Linked DNA regions of Rhinolophus ferrumequinum. The protein of the gene in region 3 interacts with the protein of the main gene of each other region in a pairwise test. Links are inferred from orthologs where the notes say so. Each region holds a gene or a part of one and is shown on either strand. Other genes may lie near its edges. The genes, in order: INSR, NTRK1 and SH2B1.

What was found.
Region 1: the proteins of SH2B1 (region 3) and INSR interact in binary tests that used the Homo sapiens proteins (3 or more experiments, as listed by UniProt). The link is inferred for Rhinolophus ferrumequinum from reciprocal best matches to the Homo sapiens genes SH2B1 and INSR.
Region 2: the proteins of SH2B1 (region 3) and NTRK1 interact in a two-hybrid assay, tested with the Homo sapiens proteins (2 studies listed by BioGRID). The link is inferred for Rhinolophus ferrumequinum from reciprocal best matches to the Homo sapiens genes SH2B1 and NTRK1.

What each region holds. Positions count from the first base shown.
Region 1 is NC_046301.1:56,447,004-56,454,643, forward strand, and holds the start of INSR (insulin receptor), read right to left. Parts: upstream 4,075-7,640; 5' UTR 3,966-4,074; coding exon 3,866-3,965; intron 1-3,865. UniProt on the Homo sapiens protein: Receptor tyrosine kinase which mediates the pleiotropic actions of insulin.
Region 2 is NC_046305.1:1,195,892-1,203,531, reverse strand, and holds the start of NTRK1 (high affinity nerve growth factor receptor), read right to left. Parts: upstream 3,635-7,640; 5' UTR 3,579-3,634; coding exon 3,367-3,578; intron 721-3,366; coding exon 646-720; intron 410-645; coding exon 338-409; intron 1-337. Other genes in the region: INSRR (insulin receptor-related protein), read left to right, coding at 5,790-5,874. UniProt on the Homo sapiens protein: Receptor tyrosine kinase involved in the development and the maturation of the central and peripheral nervous systems through regulation of proliferation, differentiation and survival of sympathetic and nervous neurons.
Region 3 is NW_022680357.1:1,246,797-1,254,436, reverse strand, and holds the start of SH2B1 (SH2B adapter protein 1), read right to left. Parts: upstream 5,270-7,640; 5' UTR 5,181-5,269; coding exon of another isoform or gene 5,153-5,180; 5' UTR 5,142-5,152; coding exon 3,777-5,141; intron 3,519-3,776; coding exon 3,417-3,518; intron 3,188-3,416; coding exon 3,096-3,187; intron 3,003-3,095; coding exon 2,827-3,002; intron 1,272-2,826; coding exon 1,068-1,271; coding exon of another isoform or gene 1,059-1,067; intron 881-1,058; coding exon 669-880; intron 535-668; coding exon 363-534; coding exon of another isoform or gene 307-362; intron 1-306. UniProt on the Homo sapiens protein: Adapter protein for several members of the tyrosine kinase receptor family.

The DNA.
Region 1 (7,640 bases), on a different chromosome or scaffold from region 3:
ATCACACACACACACACACACACACACACACACACACAAAACTAACGAGGAAAAATCACTGATATTTTCTCACCATCAGAACCAATACATTCAGCACAACAAATGTATAAGTTTCTTTAATACAGCTTGCTCTGTAAAGGGAAAAACACAACTTATCTGGCATTTTGTTTCATTTGATTCATTCAGTTTTTCACCAGGGACCACACGAGCTGTTAGGCATGTCATCCTGCTCCTCAAGGAGTTTGTTCTAAATCAAGAGTCAGCAAACTTTCTCTGTAAAGAGCTAAAGTGTAAATATTTTTGCAGGCCATGCAATCACAATATCCTCTGCCATTAGAGAGCAAACGCAGCTATTGATGATGCATAAACGAATGAGTGTGGCTGGGTGCCAATAAAACTTTATTTACAAAAACAGGTGTGGGAGGGCAGAAGATTTAGCCTGCGGGTGTAGTTTGCTGGCTCCTGTCCTAGATGGAGTTTGGCTATATGTAAATAAAACAGTGGGCTGAGAGAGGGTCAGAGTAGGGATTTTCCCTCTATGAAGAGAGCTAACACAGAACAGAGGAAGAGAAGAGGGAGGACCAGGGGACGCCAGTCACAGGTGAAAACTCGCCAGGAGACTGTGCCTTCCAGTTGGAGGGGGTAGGCAGAGGCAAATCCAGAGAGGTTAATGGAGGTGAGGCTGCAGGAGAGGCAATTGGGAGGTGAGGAATTACCATCTCTAGAACCACCGGCAAAGCAAAGCGAGGGAGATACAAGCCAGATGCCATGGGTAGAGCAGTGGGTGAAAGGTTAGAAAACGAGATTGTGGAGAGGACCTGCCAAGTCGGGGTTTGGCAGCGGAAAACTGGAGGTGGGTGGTAGGTAATGAGGTTCAGGGAAGCATTGAATGTTTATAGGCTGGAGAGAGTAAGGCTCCTGGGCAGATGGAGATCCCTGAACAAACAAAGGGGAGAGAGCAGGCATCCGGATGGATAAGTGTCCTAGACAAGAAAGAAGTTATCTCCCCAAATGCAGTGGTTTTCAACTGCGGACCAGTCGGCAATGTCATGAGACACTGTTGATTGTCATGACTTGGAGAGGGAAGGTGCTCCTGGCATCTAGTGGGTAGGGACTGGGAACGCTGCTGCTCCACATCCAACAATACACAGCCCGGCCCCCCCACAACCAAGACTATCTAAACTCAATGTCAAAATCACTGAGATTGAGAGATTGAGCGATTCTGCTCTAATCAAATGAGAATGGAAGTCAATGATGGAGTGGGGTACGGTGGGGACCGCAGGGGGCTCACCCCAGTGCCCTCTATGCATGAGTGGGGCAGGGACAGAGGGCAGGTCTCCAGGAGAGAAGGAAAAGTTAGGAATAACCCCAGGGAGGTACCCGAGCAGGCAGACGTTCTGCCCCTCGGGCTCCAGAGCGCATAAGAGAAGATACAGAAACATCTCAGGCCGCCTTGAAAACCGAGGAGGATTTGGAAGCAAGCGTCTCCGACCTCAATTAGGTGACTCACGGAACCCTCACCCCAAAGCTCTGTGGGGTTTTTATTTTAATTCATCCCACATCACCTGCATTCTCTGACTTTGCAAGGCCCACAGGTAGTCACGGAGCCAGCCAACCCAAGGAGAAATGGCGGGGAAACCATTATTCAGTTCAGCAAAGCAACAGCGACTTCATGGAGAAGGCAGTGGGGTGACATCTCCAAGGAAGAGTCCCTCATTTCTTAAAAATCAAGTTGATTTCCCTCCACCCTCCTCCCTGCCAGACATTATAGCTTTAAAATGCCTCCTCCCTCCCCAAACTTCCAAGGGGAAGTTATTTGATAGGATTTTGTTAACTATTACTGCAGCGCTGGAGTGGGGAGGCCCAGACCCAAAAGAAGGACCATTTGGTAAGAAACCAGTGTTGGGCAGCCAGACTAGGAGGGGTTCTGATTCCAGCTCTGCTGCCCACTGGCTCTGTAACATAGTCAATTTCCTCACCTGTGGAAAAAGGATAAACCCTGCCTCACAGGGTTGTGGTGAGGAGTAACTGAGATTATACATGCAAAGCATATAGAATATGACCTGCCACGTGTTTGTTATTATTAGTTAGGTATTGTCTGGAGGATAAAGGAATACCAGTGAGAACAAAAAGGACAGGAGCCAAATCAAGGACAAATATTTACCACACACCTACTAAGCACCAGGCACTGTTCCAGGCTCTGGAAATGTAACAGTGAATGAAAGAAACAAAAGCCTCTGCTGTTGTGGAAACTCTAAACATGTAAAGAAGTGGCAAAGCCATCTATTGACCCCTGGAAGCCCAGGCACAAATCCACAATTAATTGAATTAATTACCAAAGTGCAAGGAACAGAGGAGCAGGGAACTACACATATCCCTGCGTGCACGCGCATACACACAGACACAGACACACACACACACACACACACACACACACACACACACAATCTGGCGTTAGGTCTAACAATACATCTTGGATTTTCTTAACAAGAACCCAAAACAACTGCCACCCTTCATTGAGTGCCTACTGTATACCAGGCACTCGGGGGCTTCGAGTCATTGTGTAATTAGCAGAGGCGCTCAGCAAGCTGCGTTTGTCAACGCCAGAACCTGTGTGTGCTTTCTCATGTGTCTCATTTACCATCAGGAAACTCAGGAGCTTCTATATCTTCCCTCCCCGACCCCTTCCTCATCATGACTGATTTCCTTTTATGGAGAAATCTGAAGGAACCCAACAGATATTTTTAAAGCAGGGCCTCAGACACAATGGTGAAACACCCCAGCTATATTCTCTTACATGATTCTTCAGCCCTTGTCCCACAAACAGAAAGGCCTGCTATCGAGCCCCAAGGAGGATGCTGGAATGGGGGGTTGCTTCCTTCTGCTGCCAGCACAGGGAAGCCCAGGAAGGAGGCCCACGGGGGTAGGAGTGTGAGACGCTCACCCAAGGTTACAAACTTCGTGGGGCTAACAAGTAAAACCCCCTTCATGAAGGGCAGAGCTGTAGCGGGGAGGTTATCAGGGAGATGGCAGTACACAGAGCGGCTCAAGTCCTCCCTCTGGCATTGACTTTGGGGCAAGTGAATGGTCTTCTCCCTGAGCCTGTTTACTCCTCTATAAAACGGGCGAACAACAGTATCTGCCTCTGGAGTCCAGAGAGATAAGATGGACCAGCCCAGTGGCATTCGGTGACGCTAATTATAATCATAATGAAAACCGCCACTGCTTCTTCTACTACAACTGTGCTGTTACCACGGCGCGCGAGTTTGCCTCCGGACATCTGGAAACAGAAGCCAAAAGTGTAAACATGGACCTGGAGCCCCAGGTGGCCACGGGCCTACCTCTCAGGAATGGGGCAGGAGGAGGGTACAATTTCCCGCCTCCCGCAGCGTCACCTACCAGCGGGACCCCAGTGGACACCGCCCCCCCAAGTCTTTCATCCTCGCCTCTGGCTCCAAACTGTGTGTGCCCCAGGCATTGGGCTGCCCGAGGCCACCCAGACCCAGGGACCCCACTTCTCAAAGGCGACCCAGAGAGGATGGGTGTCCGTCTCTGGAGCGAATTGGGCTCCGAGGAGGCGAGGCATTGGTCAGCGGTGAGCTCCGGAGAGGGGCGCCTGCGGCGGGGCGGGCACTGGGGGAAGGTTCCTCCAGTCCGGGCCGGCACGCGGGGCGCGGAGCCGTGAGCCCAGGCGGGCAAAGGCCAAGGTCAGCGGCTTTCCGCCCCCCGCGAAGCTGGAGAGACAATTCGGGCCACCTGCCCCCCACCGAGAAGGGCTCTGAGTTCCAAATGGGGCTCCATTTTGGCAAGGGGTCCCCAAACCCCCCACGCTGCTCCCCGCCCACTCCCAGACCCCCGGACTCACCCTCTCCAGGGTACAGGTGGCCCGCGGCGCCCACCAGCAGCGCGGCCACAGCCACCAGCAGCGGCGCGGCGGCCGCCCCCCGCCTGCCCGCAGCGCCCATGGCTGCGGGAGCACCGGTCCGGTGGATCAGAGCGCGCGGCGCCGGCCCGCGGGGGTCATGCTCCGAGGTGGCCGCCTGGGAGGCGCTGATGACCCTGCCTCCTCCTCTTCTACGCCGGCAGCCCACGGGCCACAGTCCTGGCCCAGAAAGACTCTTGTATCAGCCCGGGCGGGGAGCTCGGCCTCAGCCGCTACAAATTCCGCCGCGCGGCCCCAACCCCGGGCTACTGCGGCCCTAGCCCCGTCCCGCGATCTCAGGGCCGGTAGCACCACGCTGCACCCCGGACCTCTCGGCTCTCGGCCCCGACCGCTCTGGGCCGCAATCTGCGGGCGCCCGGACAAACGGACGAACGGACAGAAGGACGCGCGGACTGGCGGGCAGGCACCAGGGCTGGCGGGTGCGGGCGGTCGGCGGGAGCAAGGGCTGCTCGGCCCGTAAACAACGAGGCCCGTCAGCTGGGCCCTGTGCAGGCGGCAGTAAAAGGCGGCACGGATCCACACTCGGAAGGGACTCGGCGCCTGGTAGAGGCCCGGGAGGGGTGGAGGAAGGCCAGCCAGAGAGAGGCACCGCCCCGCCCGCCTGCCTCCCTCTCCAGGGCCCCACGCTAGAGGTCCCGAGCGCCCCCCTAGCTCAGGGGGTGCCCCAGATCCCTGCCTGGCCTGAGCGCCATGTCTCAGAGCCCGGGGACCCCCTACATGCCCAACCCAGCAAAATATGTCGTTAACATTTTGCTATTTTGTTTCTTGTGGACTTTGGGGCATTCGTTTTCATTTTTTTTTTAATATTGCATTAAAATATTATTTATCTTGGTTGCTCGGGTTTTTGGTACTCCCTTAAATGTTGCACTCGCCTCACCGTCGTCCCGGACTTCCTGCCCCATGTGCGCCCTCTCCCAGAGCCAGGCCCCTGGGGACAGCCACGTGCACTCGCCCGCCCGCCCGGTGCGCTCATTGTGCTCGGTGGCACCAAGCCCTAGGCGCGGCCTGTGGTTCAGTTGGAGAGAGGACACGTGGGACAATGTGCAGAACCTCCCCAAAGTGCAAAGCAGGCGCTAGACATCTCCTGGGTACCGGGCAGGTGGACACACTCGATTTTCTATACACAGACCTCCATATGTATCTGAATGTCTAGGCAATGTCATTCATGAATAAGGCATGACAATGGTCAACCTACCTTACTGAATGGGGGCAAGGCGCCTTAGGTACAGGAAAGCAGAACCGAGTGAGGATCGAGCGGCTCCTCACTTCCTGTGCAGCCCTGAACCAGTGACTTCACTCTCTCTGGATAGGTCTCACCTGCATGATGGATGTAACAATACCTGCAGGTCAGATTTGGGGAGTTGCAGGGGAAGTAAAGCATGAGAAAGCACCCAGCACAGCTCTAGGCCCAAGGCATACATTTTTGACTTTATACCTAACACGGAAGTCCCACATCATGAGGATATGGGACAAATATTAATTTGCCAGGAACTGGGCCTACTGTTCCTCTATGGCACCAAACCTACTCCTGCCTCCAGGCCCTTATCCTAGTGCCTGTCCCTCCCTGTCCCTCCAGTGCCTGGCTCCACCTTTCTGTTCCGGTGACCCTTCCCTGACCACGCCCCCTCCCTTAATCCTTTTCTTTGCTTCCCTGTTATTAACATCACACCTGTATCTCTACCTGAAATTCTTGTTTTGTGTGTGTGTGTATCTTCTCTTCCCCCCATGAAGGCAGAAATCTTGTCTGTCTTGTTCACTATTTTATACCCAGTGCTTTACATACTCATTGCTTCATAATCACTTGTTGAATGGAAGAATCAACATGCAATAACTAATGGGGATTTACAGTGAGGAAAATAAACACAATCCATTTCCTTGTACACTCATGGTCTGCAGGGGGAAGAGGGCCATTAATTAAACAATCTTATGTGTTATAATGGGGGGGCTTCTCTGAGGAAGTGATATTTGAGCTGAAATCTGAAGATGAGGAATAAACAGCCAAAGGAATCAATCATGTTCCAGGTAGAGGGAACAGCATGTGCAAAGGCTCAGAGGAGGACAGACGGGTGTTCTTGTAACTAAACTTAGGCACTGTAGCTGGAGCACAGAAGAGGAGAAGCTGAACTCATGGGTGGGACTAGAAGGGGCAGAACCTCAATTACACCATGTTAAGGGTCCCTACCTCCTTTATCCTAAAAGCAATTGGTATGCACCAGAGGGTTTACACAAAAGGGTTAACATAATCAGCTTTTCTGTCCAATAACATCTCACCATCTGCAATGGGGCAAGAACGAACCAACGGAGAAGAAATAGATGGCGGCTGCAGTCCCAGAGTATCAAGAAGTGTGGATTTGATAAATGTTGTTCCCCTTCCTTCTTGTGCATACCTGTCCACAGCTGTGGGCTTCCTTCTGACCCACAGGAGCCCCCAAAAGCCACCACAATTCCAGGCAGGCAGTGTGTGCTGAAAAAGACATGAAAGGAGACATGCTGTCCTCTGGAAATCCTCATGATGTGGGACTTCCGTGTTAGGTATAAAGTCAAAAGAATTATTTCAATTCAATTGTGACTTGCTGGGGGGAAAATTTAGACACCACCACCACTCATTGTTCCTTTTGTAAACCCAACCCCCTCTCAAAAAAAGCATCTAGAAATTGAAAGTCAACCTCTGCCTTTTATTAAAAATCATTGGAATGGACAGTAAATAGAAAATCACCATTTGGCAACCTCCAAAATAATTGATTCAGGTGAGAACTATCAACGAATGCTAAAACTTGCGGTTGGAAGTTTGAGAAGTAACCGGATATTTATATGGTCTTCAATAATAAAAGAAAGGGAAAATGGTAGCTTCGTGGAGGAGAAAGCTGGCAGACACCCCTTAATTAAGTGATCAGAGTTGCTCCTGAATTTTGTTGTTGTTGTTGCTGTTATAAGAGATATTACAGGAACAACTGGTGAACTGAAAAGGTCAATTTGATAATAGTATTAAATCAATATTAATTTTGATCATTGTACTGAGGTAATGTAAGAGATTGTCTCTAGTCGTAGGAAACACACCGCATGACGTATGTAGAGGTAAGGGGGCATAATGTCTGGAACTTACTCTCAAATGGTTCAGGGGAAAAAAAGAGAGAGATAACAAAGCAGATGCGATAAATGTGAAGAAACTGGTAAATCTGTAGAAGAGTGTGCACGTGAGGGTTCATTGTGCTATCTGTGTAGCTTTCCTGGGAGTCAGACATCATGGCAACATAAAAGATTTTAAAACTTTTGAAAAACCATTTGGGGCTTTTGGTTTTGCTTTCTTTTTCTTAGATTGGCTTTGGTCCGACATTTGTTGTGTTTTGATCCATGATCTAAAGAGAGAGAGAGAGCTGTTTCATGGTTCATGAATATCGGCAACTAATACTCTACTTTTGTTTACCTTCAAGGAGGGCTTGGGGAGATGTCACTGCCACCCTCCTGGGGTCTTTCTTTAGCATGTCCCTTTATCACAATCTCCCTCCATCTAGCTGCTTTCCAATTCATTAAAGCAGGAAACACAATGCAAATCCCGACTCCTGTGTTGTCATGGAAACCTGCTTTAATATATTACATGTAGGAGACGGGGTGGGGGAGGTGAACTACACATTTCATTTATGAATAACAGTGCAGAAACCCAGCGTCACGAATTTACAACAGAGCCAGGCAGAAGAGT
Region 2 (7,640 bases), on a different chromosome or scaffold from region 3:
AGGGGCTGGGAGGGGGTGGGAGATGGAGTCCCAGCCACACCCCAGGGTCCTGGCCGCCCCCTCCCCCCGTGCCCCAGTCCATGTGTATCTGAACCCTGGGAAGCAAAATAGGGCAGGCACCTAGAAAGTCTTCCTGCAGCACGAAGCATGGACATGAGACAGCAAGAAGGACCAAGCTGGCAGGAGTGGGAGCTGAGAGAAGTGCCATCCCCAGAGGGGATGAGAAGAAGCCCCAGGCTGGAGCCTTTCTCAGAACAGGTCCCCGGGGAGGCCCAGCCCATTAGCCGCCCAAGTCTGGGTGGCCTCCCACCCCTTCTGCCCAGCCCTGGCCACTCACAGACGACTGAGCTGAGGGGTGAAATGGAATGCATCTGGCGCCACGAAATGGAGGCCACTCTTCACGATGGAGCTGGGGACGGGAGCAGCAGGGTCAGCTACCGGGGCCCTGGCCACTGCCCACGCCGGCCCCCAGCCCCCGTGCGGAGCCCTGGACCCTTCCCAGCCCTCACAGCTTCCCCGGCTGCACTGGCCGTGACCTCCGCCAGCCCCTGGGCCCTCCCAGGCCCCTGGGTCGCTGAGCCCAGCCTGACCCTCTGCCCTCCAGGCTCCGCACTACGCCCCACTCCACAGAGCCCCGCCGCTCACAGGTTTCTCAGCTCCCCCAGGCCCCTCAGGTGAGTGAGGTTCAGATGCCGGAGCTGCGTCTCGTTCTCGATGTAGCTGTGGGGACAGGGGACGGGAGTCAGCGGAGGCCACCCCCCCCCTAAGTACCCCCCCACCTGCCCCTCACAGTCACATGTATGCACACTCATGCACAGACCTGTTTACACGCAGACACAAGCACGGGCATGCACACACACAGACACAGAGACACACCTCCTACACAGGTGTACACACACCTGCATGCCCACACCCTCACACGGGCACACGTATGCATTTCATGTACACACACATGTGACAAATGCGCACGCTCACATTCACAAACACATGGCCTGGCGTTCTACTTTCACACAAGGCCTCTCCCGCACATGCTCAAGGGGGTCACGCTGAAACATTGCTGCCACAGCCCCGCCCAGCACACGGGACACCCACGGTCATGCAAACCTGTGTGCCCAAACACGCCCGCTCGGGGCCACTACCTGGTCTCACCTGTGTTGCTACACACACACACACACACACACACACACACACACATCCCACCCTCTCCCCGTGCCCACCCTCAAGCAGCAATCCATAGTCCCCCCCACCCCCACCTCTCAGCAGAGCAAGCAGAGGCATAGAGGCTGTCAGTCAGGGATGCTTTGACCCCCTCCCTGCCCAGGAGGGACCCAGGAAGGAGGAGAGGGGCAGTAAAGGGGCACGGACTGGCTGGCTTACACAGTGAGAGAGCAATGGGAAGACTCAACAGGGCGGGGTGGCAGCACAACAGACAGTGAGGCAGGCACTGAGAAAGAGATACTGACAGGAAGAGACTGGCAGGGAGAGAGAGACAGGCAAGGAGCAAAACAGATAAGGAAAGGGAGACAGAGAGACAGAGAGATAAGGACAGAGCCAGAGAGCCAAGATAGGGAGATGAGAACGAAGAAGGAAGAGAGGCCCGGCTGGGTGGGGGGCTGCTGGCGCCCTGGGTCCTGGATCCCGCACGCCAGGGAGTTCCTGAGAACTCAGCTTCTTGCAGAGTACTTGCCCCACACACAGGCGCCCAGTGCCAGGCCCCTGACTCACTGCCTGTCTCAGCACTCTCCCCCACTCCTACTTTCCCTAACTTGTGGGAACCAGGCCCAGCCTGAGTGACCCTTTCCTCCTCCCCCCTTCACAGCCGTGGCCCCAGTGGACAGCTGGGTACCAGGCCCGCAGTCCCCTGGGAATAACCTCCAGTGACTGGGAGGGAGAGTAAGTCTCTGTCCAGAGCTATAGGGACCCAGGGAGGGGTGAGAAAGCTGTCAGGCAGCGTGCTCAAAGCTGCCCCATTCGTTTGGATTCGTAATCAATCTGTCTATTCGAGTCCATTATCTCCTCGTTAGCTCTGCGAGTGCGGGAGGAGGAGGGGGCCCAGCGTGTGCAGGCTGAGGCACAGGTCAGGCTGCCGCCCCACCCAGAGGGACCCCTCCTCACCACCCTGCGTGAGTCCTAGTCCCAGCCCCAGCCCGTCCACGCGCCCCCCACCCCACGCTGGACCCACTTGGGGCTTGGAAGGGAACTGGGAGATGAGAGCGCTGGTGGGACCATTCAGAAGCCTGGGCCGTGGTGTGAAGGCCCAGGGGGATGATGAGTGGACCGGACCGGGGCAGCCTGGATCTCATGCTCCCTGCCGTTATGCAGGGACCTAGGCCCCGACCAAGACAAGGCCCTCTCTTCTCCTCCTGGTCTCCCTAGGGCCGTTAGAGAGATGGAGTACCTTCCCGTTAATTACCACGAGATACCCGAGTAACTCGGTGCCAATTATGGAATGCTTCTCAAGTAACTTCCAGACAGTGACGGCACTACCTTGCACACCTTCCAGCCCGTCCATCACCGCCTAAGGCCAGGGTTCCTCGTCCACCCTGTAAGCCCCAGGCCAGAGGAAGATATTCTAGCATGTCCTCCTCTCTTCTAGAAGTCCTGCTGGCCCCATTAGCCAAACAGAATACTCAAGTATTTTTCAGCCATCAGCATGTGATGCTTGAGTACCTCTAGGCCAATTATTACAGAATACTCCCATAGGTTTCACCAGCTGCTAAAAAGTACTTGAGTATTTTGTGACCGATTACTGCAGAATGCTGGAGATTCCTCCCAGTCTGAGGCCTGACACCCTGCCCCAAGTAGGGAGACAGGGTGGAAAGGGAGAGGGGGGTGAGGAGAGACAAGGGGGGAGTCCCATTTCATACATCCGAAGCAAGGGGTCGAGGAGACAGGAGGTAGTGGCTATGGGGAGAAGAGAGCTCAGCCTCCAAGCTATGACTTTTCACCTCCTCCCACTTTTCCAGTTCAATTCCCAATTGCAGGGGGAACAGTTGGGGTTGCCTGGTCATGACAAGGAAGAGGGGGTGGGGACTGGTTTCCCCATGGAAAGGGGATAAGGCCGGAAGGACCAAACTGAAGGGTCCACGTCCCTCCCAGCAGCTAACCACGTCCCTCCCAGCTCTGCCTGGCTCCAGGAGGCGGCTTCCACATCGCTGGGCTTTCCCAGAACTGGCCACGGAGAGCGCCCCTTACTCTCCCCGAAGCCTGTGCCCCAGCCACACTGAGCTCTAACCCACGTCCAGCAGGAACTGCGGGAGCACAGCCAACCGCAGCGCCCGCCCTTCCTGACCACGGGCGAGTCCGCGCCCTCGGGGCACGGCTATGCGCGCCGGTCCCCGCGATCCCCCGCTCGCGGACACTCACAGTTCCGTAAGGTTCTCGGTGCCCGGCAGGTGGCGGAGGCTATCCAGGGCCCCAGTCCGGGTGCAGCGCAGCCCCGAAGGGCCGTGGGGGCAGCAGACATCAGAGCAGGGTGCGGCGCCCGCAGATGCCAGCATCAGCCAGGCCAGCAGGCTGCCCGGGCCCGTAGGCCGGCCGTGCCGGCCAAGCTGCCGGCGCCCACCGCCTCGCAGCATCGCTGCGACGCTCGCCTCGCCCCGCGGGCCGCCGTCTGTGCGCTCCAGCAGCGGGCGCCGGGCCTCCCCCGACACGTGCGCGGGGCGGTGTTAATGACCCAGTCGCCAGGAAAGGGCGGAGCCATCGGCCCCGCCCCGCCCCGCCCCGCCCCCTCTGGTTCCCACGTCTCCCCCACCGCTCCTAAGCCCCCGACTCGGCCCCCACCCCTTTCGGGGGCCCCCGCGCCAGCCTTCTCCCCCAAGATGCCCCCCAGCTCCGGGAGACGCGGGGGCGCGGCCGCGGAACGCCTCAGAGGTGTCTGCTGGGTGGAGGAGAGGGGAAGTTGATACGCTATTTTTCCCAGCCTAAAGCAGCTGCATTTAGGGGGGAGGGGAGGTGATGGAGCCGGGAAAGGTTGCGGTCCTGGTCACCCCAGCCAGCCCCCGGCTTCCGATCTCCCTCCTCAGGGCGCGCGTGCCGGAGCGACTGTGCAGTGTCACTTGGATAAATTAGGTGTAACACTCTCAAAACCCTACAAAGAAAAGGGAAGGGACCCAAAGAAAACCAAACGCAGGACCTGGGGAAGGAAAACTCAGAAGAGGCAGAGAAGGAAAGTGTCTCCCAGAGCTGGAGAGGGGCGACCGGGGAGCCGACACGCCGACTTCCTGGAGAGGCCACAGGGTGGCGCCAGAAGCCCGCGAGCAAAGGTGCGAGCTCGGCCGGGGTCGGGTGGGTGGGGGCGCGGCCTGCAGCGCCCACTGCGCGCCTCGCCACCCATCATCAGCCCCCGAACCCGGCCGGCCAGCACTGGCCCCCTGGCCGGGTAGGGCCAAGCCGGGCCGCGCGGGCATCGATCGCCGCCCTGACAAGAGCATCGATTTCTGCGCGGAGAAATTAATAGGTCTTCTCTTAGCTCCTTGGATGCGGGAGCGGCCGGCGGGTGGAGCTGGGACCGGTCGGTTCTAGGGGGCCGCGCACCCGGAAAGCCCCGGGATTCCCAGAACCCAGGGAGCCACAGGATAAGTCCCAGCCCCTGACAGCCCCTTTGTGGCTACAGCGGCCCGACTGTGTCAAGCCGGGGAGATGGGGAGAAAAAGGGGCCCTGAAGGAAGGACTCAGGAAAGGGGGGCAAACAAGGGCCCCACGGAGAGAGCCGCGTGCTGCTCGCCTCTCCGCCAGGCCCAGCACAGATGTGCTCCAGTTCCCTGAGGCAGGGACGGACAGACAGACCAAGCCAACCCAGAAGCCTGAATTCAGGAAGGTGGCCGGACAGAGGTGGGTCCCCACAGGGTGATGGCCCTCTCCGAAGGGATATTGGTCGGAACCAAGGGACTTGGCTGGGACGGGAGTGGTGGCCTCCTGGGCTCCCAGAAGCCACGGGCTTGAATATTCAGCAGACACAAGTCACGTTCCCGCCAGGTTTCAACAAGCTCGCTCTGCCGGTCAAGGCTGCCAGAAGTTACCCCGCAGGTGTCAAGGTACCAGTGGCAGAACCTAGAACCACCCCTCCCCAGGGGACCCGACAGCCCGCCGCGCTTCTGGCCGTGCAGCCCTGCCTGGGAGAAGTCTGCAGGGCGGGGGCGGGGGAGCTCAGATCTTGGTCTAGCACCCCCCTGCATTTTGGCCTTATTTCCCCAACAGACCTGTTCCCCCCTCAGTTGTCAGGCTAAATATTTTGGTTTAGCGGGAGGGGCGGAGAGAGCCGAGAGGTCCCAGCAAACCAATCCGTTTGGGCTGGGGGCGGGGAGGGCGGGAGCAGGGCGAGGCCCCTGCACGCGCCCGAGGACTCGCAGCCTGCGCGGCCAGCGGGCTTGGGAGCCGAGCGTGCCCCCAGGGATCCGGGGAGACTCTCCAGCGCGCCCCAGGACCCCCGCTACTCTCCTTGGCACGGCAAGCTCCCTGGGCTTCTCTCTGCCCTTGGGCTGGCCGGCCTTTTGGATCGCCTTTTGCTCTGCACCCGGTGTGACTTTCTCCCCCGGGGGTCCTCTCTAGTCTTTCCCTGTTGTTCTCTGCATCTCTGTCCTCATCTTTCTGTCTCCAGCTGCTTGTCACTGTCTGTCTCTGTGGCTGTCACTCCTTTTTCCTGTCTCCTGCCACCTATGTGTGGGATTCCTTGTAGCTCGGTCCCTACCCTCCCCCTCTCCTCTGAAGCCTGTGTCTCTGTATCTCTTAGGGCCAGTCAGACCGTTCCGCTCCCCGGAGCCATCTGGAGGAGAGCCAGCACTGAGGCAATGGCAGTGCCCAGTCTGTGGCCGTGGGTGGCATGCCTGCTTGTGGTCCTCCTGTCCCTGGGACTTGGCCTGGACACACTGGAGGGTGAGTCCCCGGCACTCTCCTGGAGCCGCGTCTCCCTCCCTGCCAGCTGGGAAGCCAAACTGAGCTTCCAGCCAGGACACAACTATTGCGGTGTGAAGGACTTCCCCAGAAAGAGCAGTTAGCTCCCCACATGAGGGTGTTTTCCTCTCAGTTCCCTGGGAGGTGAGAAGGACCTTGAAACAGAGGGACAAATAGATACCCTCCATTCCCAACCCCGCTGGTGAAACTGGGACGCGAACCAAGATGAGGGGAGAGAGTCTGAGAAGTCATTTCCAGGGCCCCTGAGTGGGAGGGGGCAGCGATGGGATGGGGTGGGTAGCTGAAAACTGGGCGCTTTAAGTAACTGAACCCATTGTGCAGACAGGAGACTGAGGCTCAGAAAATTGAGAGGTAAAGCTGGACTGAGGTCCTGAGCTCCTGCCTCCAGGGCCCATTCAGTGGCGTGGGGGCTGCTTTTCTCTCATGCCCCAGGCTAGACAATTCCCATGTGTAGGGCTGAGGGCGGAGGGGGGGAACCATGTGGATTAAGTGGCCCTCACGAGGGTGCTGGGGGGCTTGGCTGGGAGAGGGGAAAAAGCTGAGGGTGGAAGATTCAAAAAAGGATTAAGAAATGTCCCCTTCCCCGATCCTACCCTTCCCTTCTGGACTGATGGGGGCTCAGGCACCCAGTGCTGTGTGCCTGCCTGAGAAGTTCCCCTGATGTCCTCAGACTGGGGGCCTCCAGTCTCCTCTTCCTACCGAGATAGGGATGATGCAAATGTATTGGGGTAGGGGTCCCCCAAGAGTGCTAGTCACAGAGGCACTGCCTTCAAGGCATAGACCCTCCCCCGCAGGGCTCTGCTCCTCCACTGCTGTGCAGGGCCTGACACAAGATGCCAGCCAGCAGCCCGGTTGTCAGGGACAGGAGCACGTCCCTCGGGTTGGTGTTTGGTCAGGGGACACAGATGTCCCATTCCCAGTGCGGCTCTGCCCAGGGCCATGTCCTAGGCGAGACAGACAGGGGTTAATCTGAGAAGGTCGAAGACTTGTTTTTCCAAATGAGTCTCATCAGGGGAGCCCTAGAGAGGCAGGGGGCATGATGGGAAGTGGCACGTGAGCGCCTGAGAACCCCCCATCTGCCTCGCAGAGCCTGATTGGCCCTCGCCTGGAGGGGTACAAGTGTTTTCTCCTTCTCTCTCCCTCTTGTGTGTGGCGTCTGTGTCTGCCTGTGCTCAGACACACACACTCACAGGGCAGAGCCAAGCTCAGGGGCAGGGAGTGACAGCAGGGAGGTGTGAAGTGAGTCCCAGAGAGCAGGCAGGGCCTGCCCACCCACTTCTTAACCCTCAGGGGATGGGCCAGCGTCTGTGGGACACGATGATGCTGCTGAGAGCAAGGGAGGGAGGGAGGGGGGAGAGGTGGGAGAGGTCAGCCAGACGGACGTGAATTGTGGGCGTCTTCCCTAGTGGGGAGCCATGGTAGGTATCCTGGGAGCAAGCGAGCAGAGGGAGCAGATATCACCCCTCTTAGGGTCCTAGGTGCCTGGGAGAGAAAGGGAAGTAGGGCTGGGGCCCTGGGTCTGAAGAAGCCAGACATACCCGGGTCCCCCAAAAGGAGTGGACTTGGAACCTAGATGTCCATCAATTTATCTCAGGGTCCCTGAGTGCCCGGGGCTCCCAGCACTGAACAGGCAGTTGGGGATGCAGAGCTGACTAACTAGGACCCTGCCCTCAGGCGATGCCCTCCTTGGAGGAGGTGACTGGGATACAGACAGCAATACACCGGCA
Region 3 (7,640 bases):
AGACATGGAGGGGAGGGCGGGGACCTGACTGAGCGCCCCGAGAAGGGCAGGCCCACGGGGGGGGGGGGGTTGAGGAAGGGCGGCGTCGGGGAGAATGGGTCTGGGAGACAGACAGATGGCACGGCGGAGTCGGATGAAATGGGAATGCGCCCCCCCCCCCCGCCCCCGCAGGCTCTCCCCGGCTCCGGCCGGCCCGCCGCCTGCCCCTCTGCGGCCCCAACACCAGGCGGCGCCTCCTCTCCCTGCGCCCCCTAACCACGCCTCTCCTCCTCGCGCCCCCCAGCCCCACCTTTCTGGCACACACACCTCCTCATTTCTTGGGTGCACGGGCACCTCCTCCCCTGCAGACCTGCTCTGCTCACCCTGCTGTCGCTGGGAGGACACGACGTAGCTGCCGAGAACCACGTCGCTGGGGCCTCCGGACTCCAGAGGGATAGGGTGCACCCGGAAATGCTTGAGCATATCGAAGATGGACTGGAACCACAAGTGCTGGACCCGGCACTGGCCCTCCTCATTCAGCGACAAACGCAGGTGCTGTGGGCGGGACGGACCCGGTGAAGCGGGGGGCGCAGCCCCTGCCAATCACAGCACCCAACTCCAGGGGACCGCCGGGACCCCCACGCCACCCACGAGCGCCTGCTACGACACAGCCTTTTCCTGTCACTCACCTTGGCCTTGCCCTGGAAGTTGAAGGTGAGGACGTACTCGCCCCGCCTCGTCTCGCTCTGACGTACCAGGAACACGCCATGGGCATCCGTGCCTCCAGCCAGTACCAACTGGGCAGCCTTGAGCCGCGAGAGCATCCCGTGGAACCAGGGATACCCTGAGAGGGGCTGGTCCCCCTCACCGCCCTCTGACTCCCCCTGGAACAGGAAGGACCCTTCAGGAAGGAGAGAGGGAGGGAAAGCGGGCTGTCAGGGAAACCTCCCCCATCCTGGGAGAAGCCAAGCCAAGCTTTCCCTCCCTGCACCCCCACCCCCACCCCCACCCCCACCCGATCCCGGGACAGGAGTTTCAGGTAGAGCGCCACTGGCCCGGAGGCAGAAACACACGCACACCTCGGGTACCTGTGGCTGTTTCCGGAGTGTCCGGGGGTGGGTAGGGGGCCGAGAGTGGGTGACCCGTCCCTGCTGGCGGCCCCTCTTCAATGGGGATGCGGGGAGGCAGCTCGGGGGGGAGCAGTTCCATTGAGTCAAAATGAGAGGCAGCGATGGAGGCGGAACTGGGGGAGATGGACGCCGAGGGGCGGTCTGAGAGGCCCCCATACGCCCCTGGAAAGGAACGGAGAGCAAAGTGGAGACCCAGAGAAGCTGCCCCGGCGGGACTGGCCTGCCTGGGCCACCTCCCCCCAGCCAGCCTGCCCTGTGTGGACTGCTGGGTGCGTGAGCTCAAATGCAGGGACCCCTGGTGTTTCCCACCGACGGGTCCCCCATTATGTTCCATTCAATGCCCAGGGACTACACGGACCACACGGTCCCAGAACCCAAAAGTGCCTCCATCTTTTTTGATTCAACAGCTGAAATGACAGCTTCTGTTGCGGAAGTGAGGGTAGAATCTCTCAAATATTTTTGCATTAAAAAGGGATCCTTTCGGGCCAAGAGGACAAAGCCCCCAACTCTCAGAGGCGTTCGAGAGCCCCCTTCTGACAACCCCCTCAACCTCACCGACTTGACCTTCACCTCGTGTCCGGGTATCCTCCACGGGAGCCCAATCATCTGCTTCTCCCCAACCTCCCGGGCTCTCTGCTCTCAGCAGCTGCCTCCCCGCCCCCTCACCCGGCCATGGTCCTTTCTCCCACCTTCTCTGCATAGTACCCCATCTGTTCCAGCACCCCCGATTCCTTTCCTCCTGAGCTCCCAAGGTGTTTCGTGGGGCTCAGAGGACACGAGGCACGGGCTCTCCAGAGTCCTGCTTTTTACAGTGATGTCTTGTCACCTCACTTAGACTGTGAGCCCACGGAGGGCAGGGTTTCCCTCTGAGGCACGTCTGCATTCCCTTCCTGCCCTGGAGCCCAGCCCAGAGCAGGCCCAGAGCAGGCGTGTACCAGGCCACGCCTACTGTCTGCTGAGTGGCGGGCCTGACACGGCACCTAGTCACTGCTCAGAAGACAGGAGTACGTGCAGGCTACACAGCAGGGCTCAGGCATCACGCTGGCAGAGCCCCACCTTCGCCAGTGACTCTCAGGGGACATCGGAAAGCCATGTCCCTCCCTGGTGTCAGCTGCCCGAGCAGCCAGGGGACTGGACCTGCTGCTGTGGAAGGCCTACCCTGTAACTCGTTTCACTCACTGAAAGCAGCCTGCGTGCCAGGGACTCAAAATGAAACTCGGCGTGGAGTCCAGACAGGTGAGCCGGGGGCCAGGAACACACAGTCTGTGTGTTTACGTGTGGGGTAAGGGTGTGAGTGTGTAGGCAGACCAAGAGGTACAGACAGTCCAAAGAAAACGCGGTGCCATCGACACATGCACGGAGACACAGTATAAGAACAAAACGAAGACGAGTGCAGAGCGTTCTGGAAGCTTGGAGAGAGCTGTCACCTCCAGCCAGAGTGGGGTCCACGCAGGCTTATGCAGAAGGTGACCAGGCTGGGCACAGGAGGGTGAGTGGAAGTTTGCTTCTGGCTCGTGTGGGGTGGTGATGCTGATGGTCCCAAACGACCAACGGAGGTTTGGCGTCTTCAGGGACAAGAGACAAACGTGTGGGGGTGGGGGTGGGGGTGGGTAGCTAAGGGGGAGGAGTGGGGTACACAGTGGAGTCCCGGGCCTGAGAGCAGGGGATCTGGGGTGGCAAGTTGTGAATTCACAGGTCTCTACGGCCCCGCCCTTACCCTGCGACAGGCGGTCGTTGCTCTCGCTGGGCCCCAGAAGCAAATCCTGGCTGGGCAGACTCTCTGAGTGATTCAGGCAGGGCAGCTCCAGGTTGTCCGTGTTCTCCCGTGTGAGAAATGAGGTCCCAGGGGCCAGAGGGAGGGTCATGGGGCGGGGGCTGGTAGCGGGGCAGGGCCTGCAAAGACAGGCAGGAGAGGCACCGGATGAGAGGTACAGGCTGCTCCCCGTCCCCGCCGCGCCCCACGGTGGCAGAGGTCGGGCTCCTCACCCCGGGCTCAGGCATTCCTGGATGTCCGACACCCAGGCCTTCACGCGGACGGCATCCGTGGTCTCCAGGATGTACTCGGAGGAGCCTTCCACCTGTGGGGACAGGGGGAGCCCCGAGGCCATTTCCACTCAAACAAGAACAAGAACGTCCTCCCTGTCTCTTCCCCTCCTCCCAGAAGGCCACAGCCCAGCCCCAGGGACACACTCTCCAGGCGTGTGACACACACGCACCTCCTTCCACCGTGTCCCTTGCTCGTACGTGCTAAGAGCTTTCTCCCCAACACGAGCATTCCAGGGGCGCAGGGGAGCCCGGGACCCCTACCTTCACCACGAACGTGTTCTCCCGGTCCGGCATCTCCAAGGCCGTGGTGGTCCGCACGTCCGTGATGGAGGCGCACGGGATGCTGAGTCGGGGCCGAGAGGCCTACGTGGGGGGAGAACAAGAGCCGGGTTTTGGTGAGCAGAGGCCATTGCCCGCTTCCCTCCAGAGACTCCTGCTTCCACACCCGGAGGGATTCAGGCAAAAGGGAGCAACACTCGTGTTTCAGTCCTGCCACCGCTACTAAACCCAGAGGCAGGAGCGGGCTTTGAAAGCCAAGGTCAGTGAAGCGATGGCCCAGCCGTGACCATGCTGGCAGCGCACCCCCCCTCGCTCCCAGAGCCCCCGCCACCAGGGCCTCACCTTGGGTGGTACAAAGAACTCCAGGCGACTTCCTCCTCCTCCTTCTCCTTCACTCCGCAGCAGCAAGCGACACTTCTGCCACTGAGGCCCTGCTCCCCCTGAGGTCGGCCCCGCGGCCCCTCCTCCCCGGCCCACGGCGGCGGGGTCAGGGGCTGCCTCTTCAGCCCCCATGAAGCTCAGCAGCTCTTCCCTCTGTACCAGCCCTGCTCCGTCCTTCATGGCGGCCCCTCCCCGACTGAGTCTCAGCCTCTCAAAACGGTGAGTCCATTTGTCCCCCGGGGATGTCCCATCACTAGCCAGTCCCCTGCCCACGGTCCCAGCCCCGCCCGAGGAGTTGGAGTTGCTGTTTCCTCCTAAGACTGGGGGCCCTGACGAGGTCTCGAGGGGCCCCGTTGGGGAGGGAGGGTCCACAGTCCCCCGCCACTGCAGGATGCCGCGGACGGAGCCGCGGACAGAGCGACCCACGGAACGGAGGGAGAAGCGTTTCTTTAGCTTCGGCTTTGAGGAGGTCGTAGAAGAGGAAGAGACCGAAGAAGGAAGGGGGCCGGCCAGGTCTTCAGATGATCGGGAAGGGCCCAGCACGGCCAGGGGGCCGCCTACCCTGCAGGTCTCAAGGGACAGGTCATGCAGTGGGACGTCCACGCCAGGACTCAGGGGAGCCAGGATGGGTGGTGAGAGGGAGCCAGAGGCCCGGGCCACCTCAGCTTCAAAATGCTGCAGGAAGAGCTCAGCAAACCGGCGGGAGAAGGCAGCCTCGGCCCCAGGCCCTGCGTACTGAGGGTGGGAGGCCAGGTAGAGGCGAAAACGGCGGGCAAAATCCAGGGCAGCAGCCCGGGCATGGGACTCACAGAACTCCCGCCAACTAGGGGGCGGGGGCAGTGGCAAGGGGGGAGGAGAGGGGGAGGCCCCATCCTCCGGGGAAGGGGTACCATTCATGATGGTCCCCAGGAGGTGGCCGGGGGGAGCCTGTGGGGAGGGGCAGCAAAGAGGGAAGCGGCCAGAAGACACAGGGTGAGCGGCAGCAGCTGCAGAAGAAAGAGGCACAGACACCGAGTCACTGCTGAGGTGGGACAGGGGGTAGAGCCCCACCCAAGCCAGACTCCCTCCGCTGGGCTGGACTCCCGGACTCCTCAGAGAGCAACGAGGAGCAACACAGAACTGCTCCCCTCCCGTCCCGGGCCCTCGCAGCCCACATGCCCCCTCCCGTGTCCAGCCTGCCGCCGGCCCACCCGCTTTCCCAGGCTTTGGGTCCACGAGTGAGCAACCGTGGCGGAGTGAGCACCTGTCTCTAAAAAGGCCTCCTTTCCACATCACCTCCCTTCTCTCAAATGGAGCCGCCAGGTATGTACGACATGCTTCCCACATGCTGTTCTTACCTTTCCCCGCGAGAGGTTTTAATAACCTCTATAAAGGATGAGGAAACCGAAGCTCAGAAAAGTTTCAGACCTCCATGTCTACCGTTTTTCCCATTGCATAATCCTGGCTCCCAGGGACTGGGCCGGCCTCAGGCAGAGCCCCCACTGCCCCAGCCCTCCGCGAAGCCCGGTCTGCAGAGCTCAGAGACCCTGTCTCCCGTATCCTGAGATCCAGCTCTGAGGAGGGAGGTTGCTTACTGAGGAGAATGGATGGAGGATGGACAGTAACGGTCCTGAAAGCTAAGCCCAGGGCCCAGCACCCAAGCGCTGTGTGAGGAAGGCCTGGACCGGTCACAGCCCAGTTCTTTGCTGCCCCTTCAGTTGGGGGCTCATGGCGGCAGCACCAGGTGAGGAAAGATCACCAAGGTTGGGTCGGGGCAAGTCTTTGCCGGCCACAAAGTAGATAAAATGTTAAGAGGGAGCTGGGGCCCTAGGACTTTTCACCTCCCTCTTTTCTCATTGAGGAGAGTGCCCTAAAGGCTGGTCCGCCTGCCCGTTATGGCCCTGGGTTCTGGAGTCAGGCTGGGGATGAACTCCAGGCTCTGCCTGCCACCTACGAGCTGTGTGATCTTGAACGAATTACATGTCCTCTCTGGGCTTTAGTTTCTGTACCTATAACACAGAGCTAACGGTTCTTAACCCCAGACGTGCCGGGAGAATTAAACGGGGCACGTCAGAGCTTGACACCAAGTAAGCACACAATGAGTGCCATTATTGCTCTCTTCCCGGGTTCCAATGTTCTAAAAGAGAAATCAGAGAAAGGAAGAGACTTCCCCACGTCTTCCACTAGCAAATGGCAGAGTTGGGCACGGAATTTACAACCCATGGCTCTTCTGGTAGTGTTCCTCCCCCCATATTTTACTGGAAGATGCCTGGCACCAGGACGGGGGGTCGGGGGGGACCGCAGCTCAGGGGAGTCTCCCCAAAACCTCAGACTCCTGGTCAGACCCACAGTGGGCCACCCCTCCCGTTCCTCCTTGGCCTAGACCCTCCACACTCAGACGGCTCCAGTCCTAGGGACACTTCCAAACCAAGGAGAAGCCAGGAGATGCAAGAGTCACGGAGCACGGGGGACTGAGCCACGAGGTGCAGACACAGCAGAGAAATCAATCCCCGGGCAGAGGCCAGCTCAGCTCAGACGGGCCCACCCAACCCTCTGCACCACAGGCCGACCCAGCCCCCTTCAGGCCCGCTGCCCCTGCGGCTCCTGAGCTGGTGACTCAGTTTCTCTTCTGCCAAGCAGGACTCAGACACATTTTCCCGGTGCACCTGCCTCTTGGCTCCGTTCTGCTATTTCCCGAAGGGCGGGTGGTGGAGGGTGCAGGCTCCGCTCCCGGCTAAGGACCCTCCGGGCCCGGTGCAGTCCCCTCGGACCCGACCCTACTCCCCTGACACCCTTTACCCGCCCATTCCCCGGGGCCGCAGTCTCCGGGGGACCACCCTGCCTGCTGCCCTCTCCGGGGCCGAGCGCCCCTCCTGACTCTGGCCACCCACGCCTTCTCCCACCCAGGGCTCCTCGCAGGCGCCGAGGCCGGGTCGCGGAGAGGGAAGAGGGACTCGAAGAGGGGGGTTCCGCTTCCGGTCCCACCTGCATCTCGGTCCCCGCGGTTAGCTCCGGCGGCGGCGGCGACGGCGGCAGCGGCGGCAGCTCCCACTCCCTGCCCCCCCCACTCCGCGACTAGCTCCCAGCCTGCTTCTGCGCAGGCGTCGGGACCCCTCTTCCGGTCACCGCAGGAAGCGACCATAGAGAGGAGCGGCGAGAGGGAAGGGCAACTTCGCGCTCACTTCCGCCACCCTCCCACCCCGCGCACCCCGGGAGACCTAACAGGGTGTGACTTTCGGAGTGTTCGATGACATAAGCCGTCGTAGGAGGGGGTTGGGTCCCACCAGAGCATCTTCCCCAAGAAGAAATCCAGGACAAAGGACAGCAGTCGACCATAGAGAAGCCACCTGAGGGGATAGAGTCGCGAGGCCCTGTGGGAGGCTAGAGCGACCCCCGGGCACCGGAAGCCAGCGCGTTGGAACGGCGTTAGGAGGGACCCGCTGCAGCCTAGAGCGCCGGGCCCCTGCGGCCGAGGGCTTCGCGGACACCGCCCCCAAGGAGCTGGGCCCGAAAGGACGCGAGTGACCTTGGGGAGGCCCCGCGAGGAGGCGGAGCCTGAATTTGCGACCTTGGCTTCTCGGAGAAAAGGGATTAGAGGCTCCAGGAGTCTTAGTGTCTGAGACGGGAGATAAAGATGGGGGGTAGACATAACGAGGTCAGTTTTGGACGTGCTTGTGGGCGACAGGAAGCAGGTGGACGAACAGTCTGCAACTCCGGAGAGCCGTCAGGAATTGAGAATCGTTAACGTATAGGGGGTAGTTGAAATCATGAGCACGAAGAGATCCTATCTGCCCCGTCTCTCATTCACCAGCTCCCGCTGGTCTAAGCAATAAGGGCCCCTTACTT